3 linked regions of the Neurospora crassa OR74A genome follow. The protein of the gene in region 1 purifies or fractionates together with the protein of each later gene. This does not show direct contact. Links are inferred from orthologs where the notes say so. Each region holds a gene or a part of one and is shown on either strand. Other genes may lie near its edges.

Region 1 (4,694 bases):
ACACGCGCCCGTTTAAAACCGCGGCTTTGGTTCGATTAGCCAGATGGTCATGATGCACTGAGAAAAAGACAATGACGGCAATGCTCACACGATTGATAGCCTCTGCGCAGAAATGTCGAGGGACTGATAGCACCGTTAACCTGTCGTGGAAGGATGATTGATTCATCTGCCTTGGGTAGGGTGATAGTGCTACCCGCCTGGCAAATCCACGGCTGTATTACACAGCACAGAAGGGAAGTCGACCTCCTGACCATGATGACTGATTTCAGAGGGCAACAAGAGAGAGAAGAGAAGAATGGGAGAGGAGGAAGAAATTTCTGAGCAAAATGCTACGCGTGTCAGCTTTCTACCCACGAAAAGGGCTAGCTCCCCTGAAGCGCCATCGAGACATGGTGGTAGGTGATGATCCTATAGGATCCGACTGTAATTATAAACGAGGTCGGGAGAGGTGAGCCACGGTAATATCACCGTGGACTGTCAATGGTGCCTGTTGACTGCTACCTGGCGGCTGCTCGGCCCCTTTCGTATCTTAGCGTACCCAAGGGTTGCATCAAGTCAGCACTACAGTAGGAGATAAGGCTGATCCCTACTCGTCGAGTAACAAGTAAAAGTGAGCCTGCTCAGAACAGAGAGGGTGATCACCGGAGAGCGGGCGTTTGTGCGATGCAGCACAGCCGCGAGTTTACCATCTGCTGGCTTGACTGACTGAGCCTGCGAGCGAGCGAGTTGTTTGATTGAGTTCCCCCGCGACAGGCGGATTCTTCAGGATAACCCGACGGTAACACAAAAAGGTATTTTGGTCGTGCTCGACACAGTGGGCTGAAACAGGATGGGGCGAGCAGGGTACGGTTCTTGAAGAACACCAAATGCTGGCATGAGTGGTAGGATCGACACAAGACCGAGCATTAGGACAGAGATGCGAGCAGGCTAATCAGAGCTAGCCAAAACTCAACGGCCAGCCGGCCACAGGTCGGAATCATGACTGGAGCCCAAGGGTAACGGAATCAAAGCTTGACGTCTCCCGAGGCGTCGATGGTGAGGGCAAGCATACGATGCTGAATAGGTACCTATTCAATTTCCATGTCGAGATGTCGCGATTCGCCAATGTTGTTTTTCATTCATGATCCGACGCCGCGGGAACATCACTGCACCGGGAAAACACTTGGTACATCCGACAATTTCGTGCTGACGGAACAAAGGTTGCAACTTGCAGCTTGGAGATGCAGTTTACCACGGCGGCCGCGGTGGCACGGTGAGGTAAGTGGTGATTGGCGTCAGCTCGTCGGCTACGCACCAGCTGGCAAGCAGCCTCCCGTCGTCTGTCAGCAGAGCTGCCCCCTGCCTTTCGATGGAGGGGAACGAGGTACCTGTCCTTTTCAACAACTGGAGGGGAGCAAATGACAACAGAGCCGCAAATCAGAAATTGATACTATCGCCTGTTGCAGTCGGCTTCCATTGCAGTAGAAGCGATTGGGGTATTTCTGAACATTTTGATCCCATCACCTTGTCGCAAACGACTTGACCGATTGCAGAAGAGCAGCGCGTCGTTAACTCTGTGATCTTGCGCAGGGCTTCCTGGACGACAGTCAACACTTTAAAGTGGACCTTGAATTTTCAGGAGCGTCGAAAAAGAGGTTCTTCAGTTCAGTTGTTGCATCTTCCTGGCGACACACCACAACTGGGATCCCGTCCATACCTTATTGCCTCCCCCCGCGGTATGTACTCGCACGGAGCCCGCTTTTCCCCCTAGCTTCCACATCTAGCCTCAGGTCCCGCCTGCCGCAAGACAGCTGCTGTGGACTGTGTGGTGGACGGTGGATGTCTCGAGTGTCTCGTGCGTTCCAGGTCTCGGAGCTAATGACACCTTGCACGTAGCCGCCCGACGACGTTGCCCGTTGCCCGCCGCCCGCCCCGTACCTATCTCTGGAGCTACCACCGCGTAGACGACGGATCATCCACATTAATTCCCTTAATCTTCTAATCCAACAAACCGCCGACACCACCATCACCCCTCTCCAGCTGTTCCTCTCTATCCCCGACTGCGACCATCGACCGAGGACGCCGCCGCCGACATCAACATGGATTACGAAGCCCTCAAGGAGCAATGGGGCGAGGTCGAGGACCGTGATGGCGTTCGTCTGAGCTGGAATGTCTTCCCCAGCACCCGCATGGTCAGTTCCGCTCTTTCGCATACTTGCTACTTCGCGTCACCCCTTTATCGCTGACCCTTTCTTCAGGAAGCTTCGAGACTCGTCGTCCCCATCGGCGCCCTTTATACCCCTCTCAAGGAGAAGCCCGACACGCCTCTGCTGCAGTTCGACCCCGTCAGTTGCAAGCAGCCCTGCCGCTCCGTGTTAAACCCCTACTGGTGAGCCATCTTCGTCGCCCCGACTTGTCGCGCCCATTGCTGATACCCTCGCCCAGTCAAGTCGATGTGCGCGCCCGCCTGTGGATCTGCCCCTTCTGTCTCTCGAGGAATCCTCTCCCGCCACACTACAAGGACATCACCGCAAATGCGATTCCACCCGAGCTGCACCCTTCCAACACTACCATCGAGTACAGGCTCTCGCGGCCCGCCCCCGCCCCTCCGATCTTCCTCTATGTCGTCGATACGTGCCAGGAGGAGGACAGCTTGGCTGCTCTCAAGGAGTCGCTCATCATGAGCTTGAGCCTATTGCCCGAGCACGCCCTTGTCGGCCTGATTACATACGGCACCATGGCCCAGGTCCACGAGATTGGCTATACCGAGTGCCCTAAATCATATGTTTTCCGCGGTAACAAGGAGTACGCGGCCAAGCAGGTCCAGGAGATGCTTGGGCTCGTACAACCTGCCATGCGTCCGGGCATGCCTATGCAACAGCCTGGCAGGCCCTTCCCGGCCGGCCCTGCCTCAAGATTCTTGCTTCCGGTCTCTCAGGCCGAGTTCCAGTTGACCAAGGCCATTGAGCAGCTTCAGAAGGATCCCTGGCCTGTTGCCGGTAACCTCAGAGCCTTGCGCTGCACCGGTGTTGCGTTGTCCGTAGCTGTTGGCCTGCTCGAAACGTCGTTCCAGAATGCCGGTGGTCGCATTATGCTCTTTGCTGGTGGTCCGGCCACTGAGGGACCTGGCATGGTTGTTGGCCCCGAGCTGAGGGAACCGATCCGCTCCCATCACGATATCGACCGTGACAACATCAAGTATTACAAGAAGGCACTCAAGGTACGTTCATCTTCAAGTTGTGGTGCAGGAAACAGTCTGTGTCATGCTAACATTTATTATAGTTCTACGACAACCTCGCTAAGCGAACGGCGCACAACGGCCACACTATTGACATTTTTGCCGGCTGTCTTGATCAAGTTGGTCTACTTGAAATGAAGGGTCTGTGCAACTCGACGGGTGGCCACATGATTCTGACGGACAGCTTCACCTCATCCATGTTCAAGCAGTCATTCGTCCGCATTTTCGAAAAGGACGCGGATGACAATCTGCTCATGGGCTTCAATGCGGTTTTGGAAGTACTTACAACGAAGGAACTCAAGGTTACTGGGTTGATTGGTCATGCAGTCTCTCTCAACAAAAAATCGACGTCCGTCGGCGAAACCGAGTGCGGCATAGGTAACACTTGCACGTGGAAGATGTGCGGTATCGACCCCAGCTCCAGCTACGGTATCTACTTCGAAATCGCCAACCAAGGCGGCCCGTCCCAGAACATGCAGAGTCCCCAAAAGGGAATGATGCAGTTCTTGACTTATTACCAGCACTCGTCTGGCCACTTCCACCTTCGGGTGACCACCATTGCCCGAAACCTCAGCGGCCCCGCCGGAGACCCGGCCATCGCGCAGTCATTTGACCAGGAGGCAGCAGCCGTGCTTATGTCGCGTATCGCTGTTTTCAAGGCGGAGGTTGACGATGGGCCTGATGTGCTCCGGTGGGTTGACCGCATGCTCATCAGGCTCTGCGCCAGATTTGCCGATTACCGCAAGGACGACCCGTCATCGTTCCGCTTGGAAAAGAACTTCACGCTGTACCCACAGTTCATGTTCCACTTGCGTAGGAGTCAGTTCTTGCAAGTCTTTAACAACTCTCCCGATGAGACCGCATTCTATCGGCACGTTCTCAACCATGAGGATGTTAGTAACTCGCTCATCATGATTCAACCAACGCTCGACTCCTACACCTTCGACCAAGAAGGCGGTGTCCCCGTTCTGCTCGACTCTACCTCCATTCAGCCTACCCACATCCTCCTGCTCGATACCTTCTTCCACATTCTGATCTTCCATGGTGAGACGATTGCGGAATGGAGAAAGGCCGGCTACCAAGACCAAGAGGGATACGAGAACTTTGCTGCGCTTTTGGAGCAGCCCAAGGAAGATGCAAGGGTAAGTTGTCTCCTGTTCATCTCTGATCGAATTATGTTGGGGCTTTTTTTCTGACCGTGTACAGGATCTTATTACCGACCGTTTCCCTCTCCCTCGTTTCATTGTTTGCGACCAGGGCGGTTCCCAAGCTCGTTTCCTGCTTTCTAAGCTTAACCCTTCCACTACCCATACATCAGGTGCTGGCGCCTATGGCGGTGTTGGAGCTCAGAGCGCCCAGACTATCTTCACCGACGATGTTTCTCTCCAGACCTTCATGGAGCATCTCATGAAGCTTGCCGTGAGTGGAACCAACTAAATGTGAGGGCAGTGGACAGGCCGAGTGAGAGGCTGGAAGT
Region 2 (4,225 bases), on another chromosome or scaffold:
TTTTCCGCCACCTCCAGGGCCATTGATTACCGGTGCCGGTACCGGCGCCAATGGTGTCAGCAGCGGCGACATCAACGTCCCCGCGGACGTCCCCAGCGAACCCCACGACCCATTGACTTCCCCCTCTACTCCCCCTCCTCACCAACCTCCGGCTCCGTCGCCCCTCCCAGCCAGCCAAAACCCCACCGACGACCTCGATCCCGACAACTCGGAGCACTCGGAGCACTACCGTATGCACATGTCGATGATCAACGACGCCGAAGGCGAGCCGGACGAGGTAGCGGCCGAAGACATGCTCCAACAAACTCTCAAGGTAGAGATTCTACCTGGCAAGTTCCCACGTAAGAGCTATGTGCATTTCCCGCCGAGGCACTCCATGCTTAAGCTGCCGGATACGTTATTGTTGTATGAGACGCCGTCGGCGGAGTTGCCGTTCAAGTGTGATGCTTTGGCGAAGATTGGGTCGTCGGAGGGGGGGAAGGATGATGGGGTTGTTGATGCCGCGGCCCGGAACAGAAATCAAAAGGGACTTAGTGGTGTTCAGAAGCAGAAGCAGAAGAAGATAAAGGGGGAGGAAGAAGAAGAAGAAGAAGAAGGCCAGGGAGAGAAATACGAAGAGGGCGACTCAGCACAAGGCGAAGCAGAGGAAAAGAAGAAACCCCGCCCTCGTCTCAAAACGCGAAAACACCGCAAACCCCCGGTCGCCATCACCGCTGGCGAGAACAGCTTCCGCACGCAAGCGTACGAACTGGCGCTGCTGATGCAGCGGAGCATTGAGATGTTGGAACTCAAAGAGCGGCGGAAGTGGGACGAGGATTACTTGATCGACCTCCACCACTGGGAGCTGGAGGCGGCGAGGAGGGTCAAGGTGGCGGACGTGGGCGTGGTGGACGATCAGGACATGGCGATTGGCGATTTGGAAGGTGTTGGGGATCTGGATGAGAGGGGAAGGGAGATTGTGTTGGGATGGTTGGAAGAGAAGATGGATAAGGCGCGTTGATGACTTGGGAGGTGGGATGTACTGGGTCAAATGTACTCCCCGTAAGCCCGAGGTAATGTGATAGTGTAAGATAAAACTCGGTATGATCTCTTCATTGTCCCGAGCGGTTCATGTGAAGCCAACCTGGATATGTTCTTGTGAAACCGAAGGTAAGCCTGCTCCTTTTCGCTGGCCTCCCTTATTTATTACCCGATAACGCCCACTCTGGATGATGAGTAGATATCCTACCTACCAATATTATGCTAACGCTCGCCACCCATCATCATCATAACGTGACCGAATTCCCATGTGATTTTACTCCTCAATGGTCTTGACGTTCTCCCACTCGCCCTTAAGGTTCTCCTTCCATAGTGTGACCTTGTTGTTGTCACTGCTGGCGGCCAGCACGTTTCCGCTGAGCGACCAGCTAACGCGCCAGACGGCCGCATCAAAGTTGAGAACCTTGCACTTCCACTCGCCCGGGTTCGCCGCGTCACTCGTCCAGATGCGCACCGTCTTGTCCTGCGAGGCGCTTGCGATATAGCTCTTCTGAAGCACAGTCGGGCTCCACGCAACGTCGCGCACCCAATCTGTATGACCCGCCAGGGGCTCGCGCTCGAGCTTGTATCCGTTGGTCGCGGGGTCGAAGGTCCAGATCTTGAGCAGGTTGTCGGAACCGCCAGTCACGAAGCGTCTGTTGCCCGTCGAGCCGGGGCCGGGGTTGCTGCTGACGATGCTGCCGGGGGTGGTGGCGGGGGCCCACGAGACCGAGTTGACGCCCAGGCCATGGGCGTGGAAGATGTTGTGCTCCCAGCTGTTATCCTTGAATTCGAGAACGCTGACGTTGCCGTCCGAAGAGGCGCAGGCCAAGAGGCATCCGGCTTCGTGGGGAGACCAGGACACGATGTTGACGCTAGCCTTGTGTAGGGCGAAGTCGAAGATGCGCTGCCAGCTGCCGGCTTGCTCGCGCCAAATGAGAACCTTGCCGTCGTAGCCTGCCGAGGCGAGGATGTTGCCGTACTTGGGGTGCGCCCATGCTACGGACCAAACTGCGCCATCGTGTCTGTCGGAAGAAGGGAGGTTAACCCATTGTCCATATTGTTTGGTGACTGTAGCCCATCGCAAACATACCCCTTCAATGTCTCAACAAGTCGCTGTGATTCGCCCTCGATCTCGAAGATCTTGATGGTGCGATCCGAGGAGCATGTCGCTAACCTCCTGCCGTAGTAGTCGAGAACTGCATCGTGCTGCGAGGGTCGGTTAGAAACAGAGGGATGGTTGTCGGGAAACGTCGAGGGGGCGATGTTCAGCGTACAATCATATCATCGTGGCCAGAGTTGGCGATAACCTGTGCGCCTGCGGTCTGTCATTGTCGCGATAGCTTCATGTTAGTGGATAGGTAGCCAAGTAAGGGGGAGGGACGCCGCCGGCAGCTTTGGGGGTGTAAGAGGACGTACCATGTTGATTAATTATGGAGTATTGAAGATTGTGGAAAAGACAAATAGATTTGTATGGAGTTGTATTTGCGTCCTTTGGGTGATGAATGAATTCAGACTGGAGTTATAAAGTACACTACTCAGAGTAGTAGAAAGGAAAAAGGGCCGTCGTTGGGGATTCAGTTGCTGTTAAGTTGGATCACCACGGACGGGCATTGGGAATGGAAGCTGCAAGCTACAGGCAGTGGACGCCCAGGCGACACGATAGGTGAACCCGTCTTGCTGCGCTGGAGCTTCCACTTGACGCTTGCGCAGTGATCCCTGTCGAGCGATGTGGTCCAGCTGGCAAGAAGTCAAGGTGAGCAAGGTGAGCAAGGTGAGTGGAGCCTTTGTCGGTTTCCTCGTAGGCTCACCGTGGTGTGACGTTATTGTAACCAGGTCGGAGGCTCGAAGTGGACTCTTGTTGAGACAACCAAGGTGGGGCAGGTGAGGCAGGGGCCCGTTGACGACCCCACGCGTCGCCTGGGCTCTCCCGTCCCGCTGTAAAAGTCCACTGAACATGCCGTGCACATGATAGCGTGTGAGCGCATGGCTACCCCGACGGGAATTTCGCCAGTGCCGTGGCAGCGTTCACTCCCGTCACAAAAAGTTGGGATGGAATCTCACTCAACCAGACCTGACCATTTTGACCCTTCTTCCAGAATTACTTGTTCAAAATCAGCGACGCTTTTTGTTTGCTTGCTAAAAGGATTTCTTTACACACAGTAATCAGTCGCGTCCTTTTCGTGGTATTAGGTCCGGCGTTGTTTACTCTTTTTTTTCTCGTTTCCATCTTCCCCCCTCTCCAACTACTTTTCTCCAAATACTTAGCGTTGAAGACTTGAGATACCGGCGGGTTCGGTGACTACTATCGCGCTGTTCAAAGAACCTCGGCTTCTACTTTCGCGCCACTAATCTACATTACTTACAACTTACAACTCTCCTTTCGCTCACTCATCCAAGTCTTCCTCGCTCTACAATAATTATATACTCTCTTCAAGGACATTTCGTTCCTCACTCTTTATTTATAAAACCTTCTACTTTTGTAATTTCTTTCTCGAAACTTACCGTCACCCGCGCTTCTCGCCTTTTTGCTTCCAACAAGTCAAACCTCGCTCAACATGTCTGACAGCATGTGCGGCCCGTCCAACGGTGCCAAGAACCTTCTTGCGCACGCTGATCGCGACCGCACTCTTCACCAGGACCGCCTGGTCAACTCGCCCAACTCGGCTGCCGGTGCTGTATGATATGATCGCTTTCTTTTGTTTTGTCTTGTCGTAGAATATCCAGCGTAACTCGGTGCTAACAACCCATCCAGTCCTTCAGAAACCGCCCCTCCTTCGCTGCTGATGGTGCCTTTGAGACCTTTCAGCAAGCCCCTATGCTCGACGCCCCGGGTCCTTCCCTCGGCCTTGCGAATAATACGTTCCTGAACAACCCAGGCGTCCCGGCTTTTCATGCTGGTCCAGCGCCTGGTGTCTTTGGTCATGCGGTCGGAGGTGCGCCGGCTACGGCCAGTCCCATGCACTCCTCCCGTGCCGCTGCCCACGGCTGGGTCGACCAGTTCGCCAGCATGCAGCTCCGTCAGGACACAGCTCACGCGGCCCCGGCCATGTCACCTCAAGCCATGCCGGCAGCCATGTCTACTGCAACCCACAACTCCATGATGGGCTTGCAGGACGACCATATGGCCTACAACACTCGCCAGTTCGGCGGTATGGGAATGGGTGTGGGTACGGGAATGGGAATGGGAATGGGATTGTCCATGGAC
Region 3 (4,510 bases), on another chromosome or scaffold:
GTCCGAGGACCACCCCATGGGTGAGGCAGAGGACGACGAGGATGATGAAGATGAGGATGAGACTGAGGTGAGCTAAATCCTGAAGGCATCAAACTTGCTTCTCAAAACACTCTTCTTCGCATTGTCCGTGCTAACCCTTCCGTTTGCAGGAGCCCGAAGCTGGTACGTTAATTGCCTTTAAATCCATCAGCCAACGCCCAATCACGGGTGACGATCGCGCAGCAACAGCTTACGTACAGGAACTAACATGAACAAAAACAGAGGAAGACAACCTCGAGGAGATCGACCCCAGCAATGTGATCAGTGGTCCCCGCACTCGCCAGAAGGAGATCGACTATGCCAAGGCCGCTCAGGACTTGCCTGCCGAGGAGGACGATGAGGAGGACGACGAGGAGTTTGTGCCCGAGGATGAGGAAATGGAGGAGTAGTCCGAGGCTATCTTCTGATTTCCTTTGATGGTTCACAACAACAACAACAACAACAACAATGACAACAGATTCTTGTTTTCTTTCTTCCTGGGTTTCCCCGTTGGCTCTGCGCTTTGCTCGCTGCCAGTGGTTGAGTTTTATGATGATCACGAGCTTGGAGATGTAAGCCGTCTTTTGGCTGATTGCTAAGCCTGATTGGCTGGACCTATTTATGTACGTGAATGTCAGCTATAAGGCCTGGGGTTGTTTGGTTCAATGCGTTGGGAGTTCCCACAATCAGAATTTGGCAATACATGATAAGGGTGTAAGTGATCATTCGTTTATCAGTTCAGGTAGACCGATCTCTTCTGTCAGCCAATTTCAAAGTATCAACATACTACGTACGTTGGTGTATCAGAATACGCTTGATCGCTTGTCTTCACTAACCTAACCCCCATAAGTGGAGACATTGGATGATTCCCCTGTCAGCTCAAGGGCAGTTGGCCTGTTGAGATGGGGTGCCACTAAACTAACCGCGAGGCAGCCTGAAGGGGGTGATATGTCTACGGCTGACCTATGAAAAGGTAATATTCCGGCGAATTCTAGAGTTGCTATGACCATCGAGATTTGATATCGGTCCTGTTCCTGGAGTACACAGCAGACGTCAGGAACCGGAGCATCGCACCAGCCACCAACAAGGTTCGCGATCTTGGCCTGATCCACCGGGTATTCTACGCAGTACCATACACCAGCTTCTTTGACGCCAACATCTGTGAGAATGCATGCCTTCGACTTGGAAAGCTTCAACGATTCTGAAAGTCTCGGATTTGGGCTTAGATTCGCTTCAATAAGTCCATACTTGAGTCTATGCGCCTTGCGCAATCTAACGTGGATCAACTTATTGCTGACGCGACAAGCTGAGAGAGAAAAAAAAAAAAAAAAAAAAAAAAAAAAAGGTAGAGGAAGAATGGAGACGCTGAACGCCCAATTAGCCAATATCAGTGGAAGCAACACGGGCACCTCTCGGAGGGACTTTGAACAACGCCGAACATGAACCCTCCGACATAAAGAAAAATTGAATGATTAAAACCAGATACATTGGGGAAAATAGTGTCAAGTTCTCTCGGAGAGGAAGACGTGACACCAACCCAGATGTTCAATCAACGTGTCCTTGTCAGCATCATGCGGCACGAACAACATTGTACCTTTTAGCCATTACATATGTATCACCCAGACACGGACTGACGTTGTAGTTTATGTACATGGACGGCGCACCAAGGTAACATCTGGCCAGAACAGGCCTAACAACCACCCAAACTAAAAAGGGGGATCTGCCGGCGCTGGCGGCCAAGGGTCCACGGGCATTCAACTTTATTTTCTTTCTTCACCACCCGCACACCCCCCGCCCGACGCTACCTCTATGGAACCTGCCAATTCATCATCTCTAATACCTACCCACACTCTTACAAGTTAGCTAGCATTTACCTGTCAGGATTCTCGAAGACGGATCGACCTAAATTTGCTCTCCATGATGGCTTCCAGGTGAGTGCGATTCTCTTGTACGTTCGTCTTAGCATTGCACCACACCACACGCAAATGCCACCTTTCACATTTCGAAATGCGACTTGGCCTGTCAACTCGACCAAACCCACGACCGACACGCGATGAAGCGAGCGGCCGACCGAGCTGCCCGGCTCCGGTGAACGGGTGTACGATATTGCCACCGGAAGATATCTGCGGACCAAAGGCAGCAGCTATCGATGTTATGGTGGTTGGTTTGACAAGTCACGATTTCTCGACCTGCCCCCCCTGGTCATGGCGCGACGGCCTCAACTACGTCATCGCTCTGGTTTCAGAGTCTCGCCAACACGCCTCCAACCATGCCATGGTAGGATACGATACGAGTTCACTACCGTGATGTGATGCAGTCGCAACAGCGGCGCAACCACAGCAGCACTGGCGACGAGAGCGAGAATGACAGCGAAACCGAAAGCGTCAACTCGATCCATCCACCATGCCCCCGGGTCGTCCTCGATTCGACTTTGACCACCCACCACAACCCCCATCCCACCAACCCCTTAATCCTTCGAACAAGACAAGACAACACCCTTCTAACAATTAGTCCGCTTTTCTTTTTCTCCGGAGTACAGATTTGCACATTCCTCTCTACACCAGCGCGACCCGCGCAGCGACCTTTTCAAGGGCTACTCTGGCTCCAGCGCAGCCGAGCGCCGCTCGGCCAACGCCAGCCCAGCAAGGTATGGCGGTGGCGGCGGATACGGGTACGGGGGCGGCTATGGTGGCGGTGGGAGTTATAACGGCAGCTCGTCAACACTGGGGATGGAACGGGGCGGGTTTAGGCCTGCTACTCCAAATTCAAGGGGCCAGTACAGCGACGCAGTCCTCAACGAACTCGAGAGCCAGAATGATGAGCAGGTGGAAGGGATAATGGGTAAAGTCAAGATTTTGAAGGATGTATGTTTTTGTTCTCTCTTTCTGCTCTCCTCCCTCTCTCCCACTTCCTTCTCTCGCAAGCCACCCATCAACTAACCCCATCCCTCCCCCACAAACAGATGACTATAGCCATCGGCGATGAAATTCGAGACTCCTCCGCCCTCGCCGAGAAGATGAACGAATCCTTCGACCAAACCCGCCTCCGACTCCGTGGTACCATGAACCGAATGCTCATCATGGCACAGAAGACCAATGTCGGGTGGAGGGTGTGGCTTGCCTTTTTCGCTGCCGTGGTGTTCCTCTTTTTTTACGTGAGGTATCTCTAGTATCCTTCCAAGGTCAAGGTTTTTCTGAACTTGGAAGAGAGAAAAAGAAAGAAAAGAAAAAGACAAAGATGGAGGGATATGTTGGTCGGCGGAGTGGTCCTCCTGCTGCTGCTGCTGCTGCTGCTGCTGCTGCGCGGGGCAAAGCGATATGTTCAAGAATGATGGAAACGAGAAAAGAGACCATATATATGCAAAGGAAAGATGGGATAGTATATATATGGCTTTAACGATGGGTAATACCAATGGATGATGAGGAAAACGGAAGGTTCTAGGTCAAAGTGGCTGACTACCTTGTGGGATAGAAAAGGCATGGATATGGGTTGCCCTTGGTAGATTGCGGGCGGACTTGGTTTTTGCATGCTGGCGCCGGGGAGTTCGCGTTTGTTAAGTCGTTCGGGTAGTATCAGAAGTCGGTTTTTTTTGGTTTTTTTGTGGTACCTAATTATTTTAATCATTCTTAATCCGTTCTCCAACCAATGAGGTTCAATTATCTGGTTTAATCCACTGATCAATCATGAAGCTATATATGGGCTCCCACAAACGTGAAGTGGATAATCATTGAGCGTATAACAGACAGTTAATCAGAACTGCGTGTAGACTACCACTGCATAGACCAGACCATTGCTGTAACGAAGATCAAAGTTGTCTTTTGACGGACATTATCTATTCAATCCTGCTTCCCAAGCCACCAAGTAGCTACCCATACTGCCATGATCCCAAGACTCCATGCGCCAGACTCAAACGACCTGTTATTGAATGATGCTTGCTGACCGTTCCTACCACAACTCCTCAGTTTTAATCCTCCCTTGTTTCTCTTTCCGAACCACCGCGGACCTTCATTCTAGTGCAACCTCCTCACCCTTGGACTGCTTCTCATCATGGGACTACTCTCATCAACAGACAACAGCCCACTGATATCCAGACTGCTCCTTGGCGCTCCAATTGTGCTCCGCCTGGCATTTCCCGCAAGACTAGTCCTCAACAGCCGCTGCTGCTGCTGCTGCTGCTGTCTTGGCAGTGATACGCGGCGATGCTGGCCCTGCGCTGATCCCGCTGCCGAACCAGGTCCGTAGCTAACCCGGTGAGCGCGTCTGTGACTGCCGCTCATATTACCACCGCTACCACTGCTGCTTATGCCGATGCCTGCACCTGTACCGACTTGCTCTTGTCCTCCCTCGTTATCACTGCTGTCAAGAAGCTCCGCCTCGGAATCGGTATGCTCATAGAAACCGCTTTGCGCACGCTCCTCGTCCGCCTCTGGAATGTCGTCATCTAGGTTGGCGTTCATGCCTAGACTGTCGTCCGTCATGCCTCTGTCTTCGT

The links.
Region 2: the proteins of NCU01318 (region 1) and NCU04063 purify together in Saccharomyces cerevisiae (affinity purification with mass spectrometry; 5 studies listed by BioGRID, with this or other methods). This does not show direct contact. The link is inferred for Neurospora crassa OR74A from reciprocal best matches to the Saccharomyces cerevisiae genes SEC23 and SEC13.
Region 3: the proteins of NCU01318 (region 1) and NCU01741 purify together in Saccharomyces cerevisiae (affinity purification with western blotting; 4 studies listed by BioGRID, with this or other methods). This does not show direct contact. The link is inferred for Neurospora crassa OR74A from reciprocal best matches to the Saccharomyces cerevisiae genes SEC23 and BET1.

Annotation. Positions count from the first base shown.
Region 1 is NC_026505.1:3,643,361-3,648,054, reverse strand, and holds the start of NCU01318 (protein transporter sec-23), read left to right. Parts: upstream 1-1,398; 5' UTR 1,399-1,715; intron 1,716-1,875; 5' UTR 1,876-2,078; coding exon 2,079-2,171; intron 2,172-2,237; coding exon 2,238-2,368; intron 2,369-2,424; coding exon 2,425-3,199; intron 3,200-3,261; coding exon 3,262-4,359; intron 4,360-4,423; coding exon 4,424-4,654; 3' UTR 4,655-4,694. Other genes in the region: NCU01319 (hypothetical protein), read right to left, coding at 1-24, 89-254. UniProt on the Saccharomyces cerevisiae protein: Component of the coat protein complex II (COPII) which promotes the formation of transport vesicles from the endoplasmic reticulum (ER).
Region 2 is NC_026506.1:2,621,718-2,625,942, reverse strand, and holds NCU04063 (protein transporter sec-13), read right to left. Parts: upstream 2,662-4,225; 5' UTR 2,440-2,661; coding exon 2,437-2,439; intron 2,343-2,436; coding exon 2,295-2,342; intron 2,227-2,294; coding exon 2,111-2,226; intron 2,043-2,110; coding exon 1,295-2,042; 3' UTR 1,001-1,294; downstream 1-1,000. Other genes in the region: NCU04064 (hypothetical protein), read left to right, coding at 1-1,000; pex20 (peroxisome biogenesis factor 20), read left to right, coding at 3,576-3,695, 3,773-4,225. UniProt on the Saccharomyces cerevisiae protein: Functions as a component of the nuclear pore complex (NPC) and the COPII coat. It is one of 5 proteins constituting the COPII coat, which is involved in anterograde (ER to Golgi) double-membrane transport vesicle formation.
Region 3 is NC_026502.1:2,582,281-2,586,790, reverse strand, and holds NCU01741 (SNARE complex subunit), read left to right. Parts: upstream 1-1,720; 5' UTR 1,721-1,935; coding exon 1,936-1,949; intron 1,950-2,557; coding exon 2,558-2,882; intron 2,883-2,980; coding exon 2,981-3,187; 3' UTR 3,188-3,685; downstream 3,686-4,510. Other genes in the region: NCU01740 (histone H2A.Z-specific chaperone chz-1), read left to right, coding at 1-67, 150-162, 262-428; NCU01742 (hypothetical protein), read right to left, coding at 4,029-4,510. UniProt on the Saccharomyces cerevisiae protein: SNARE required for targeting and fusion of ER-derived transport vesicles with the Golgi complex.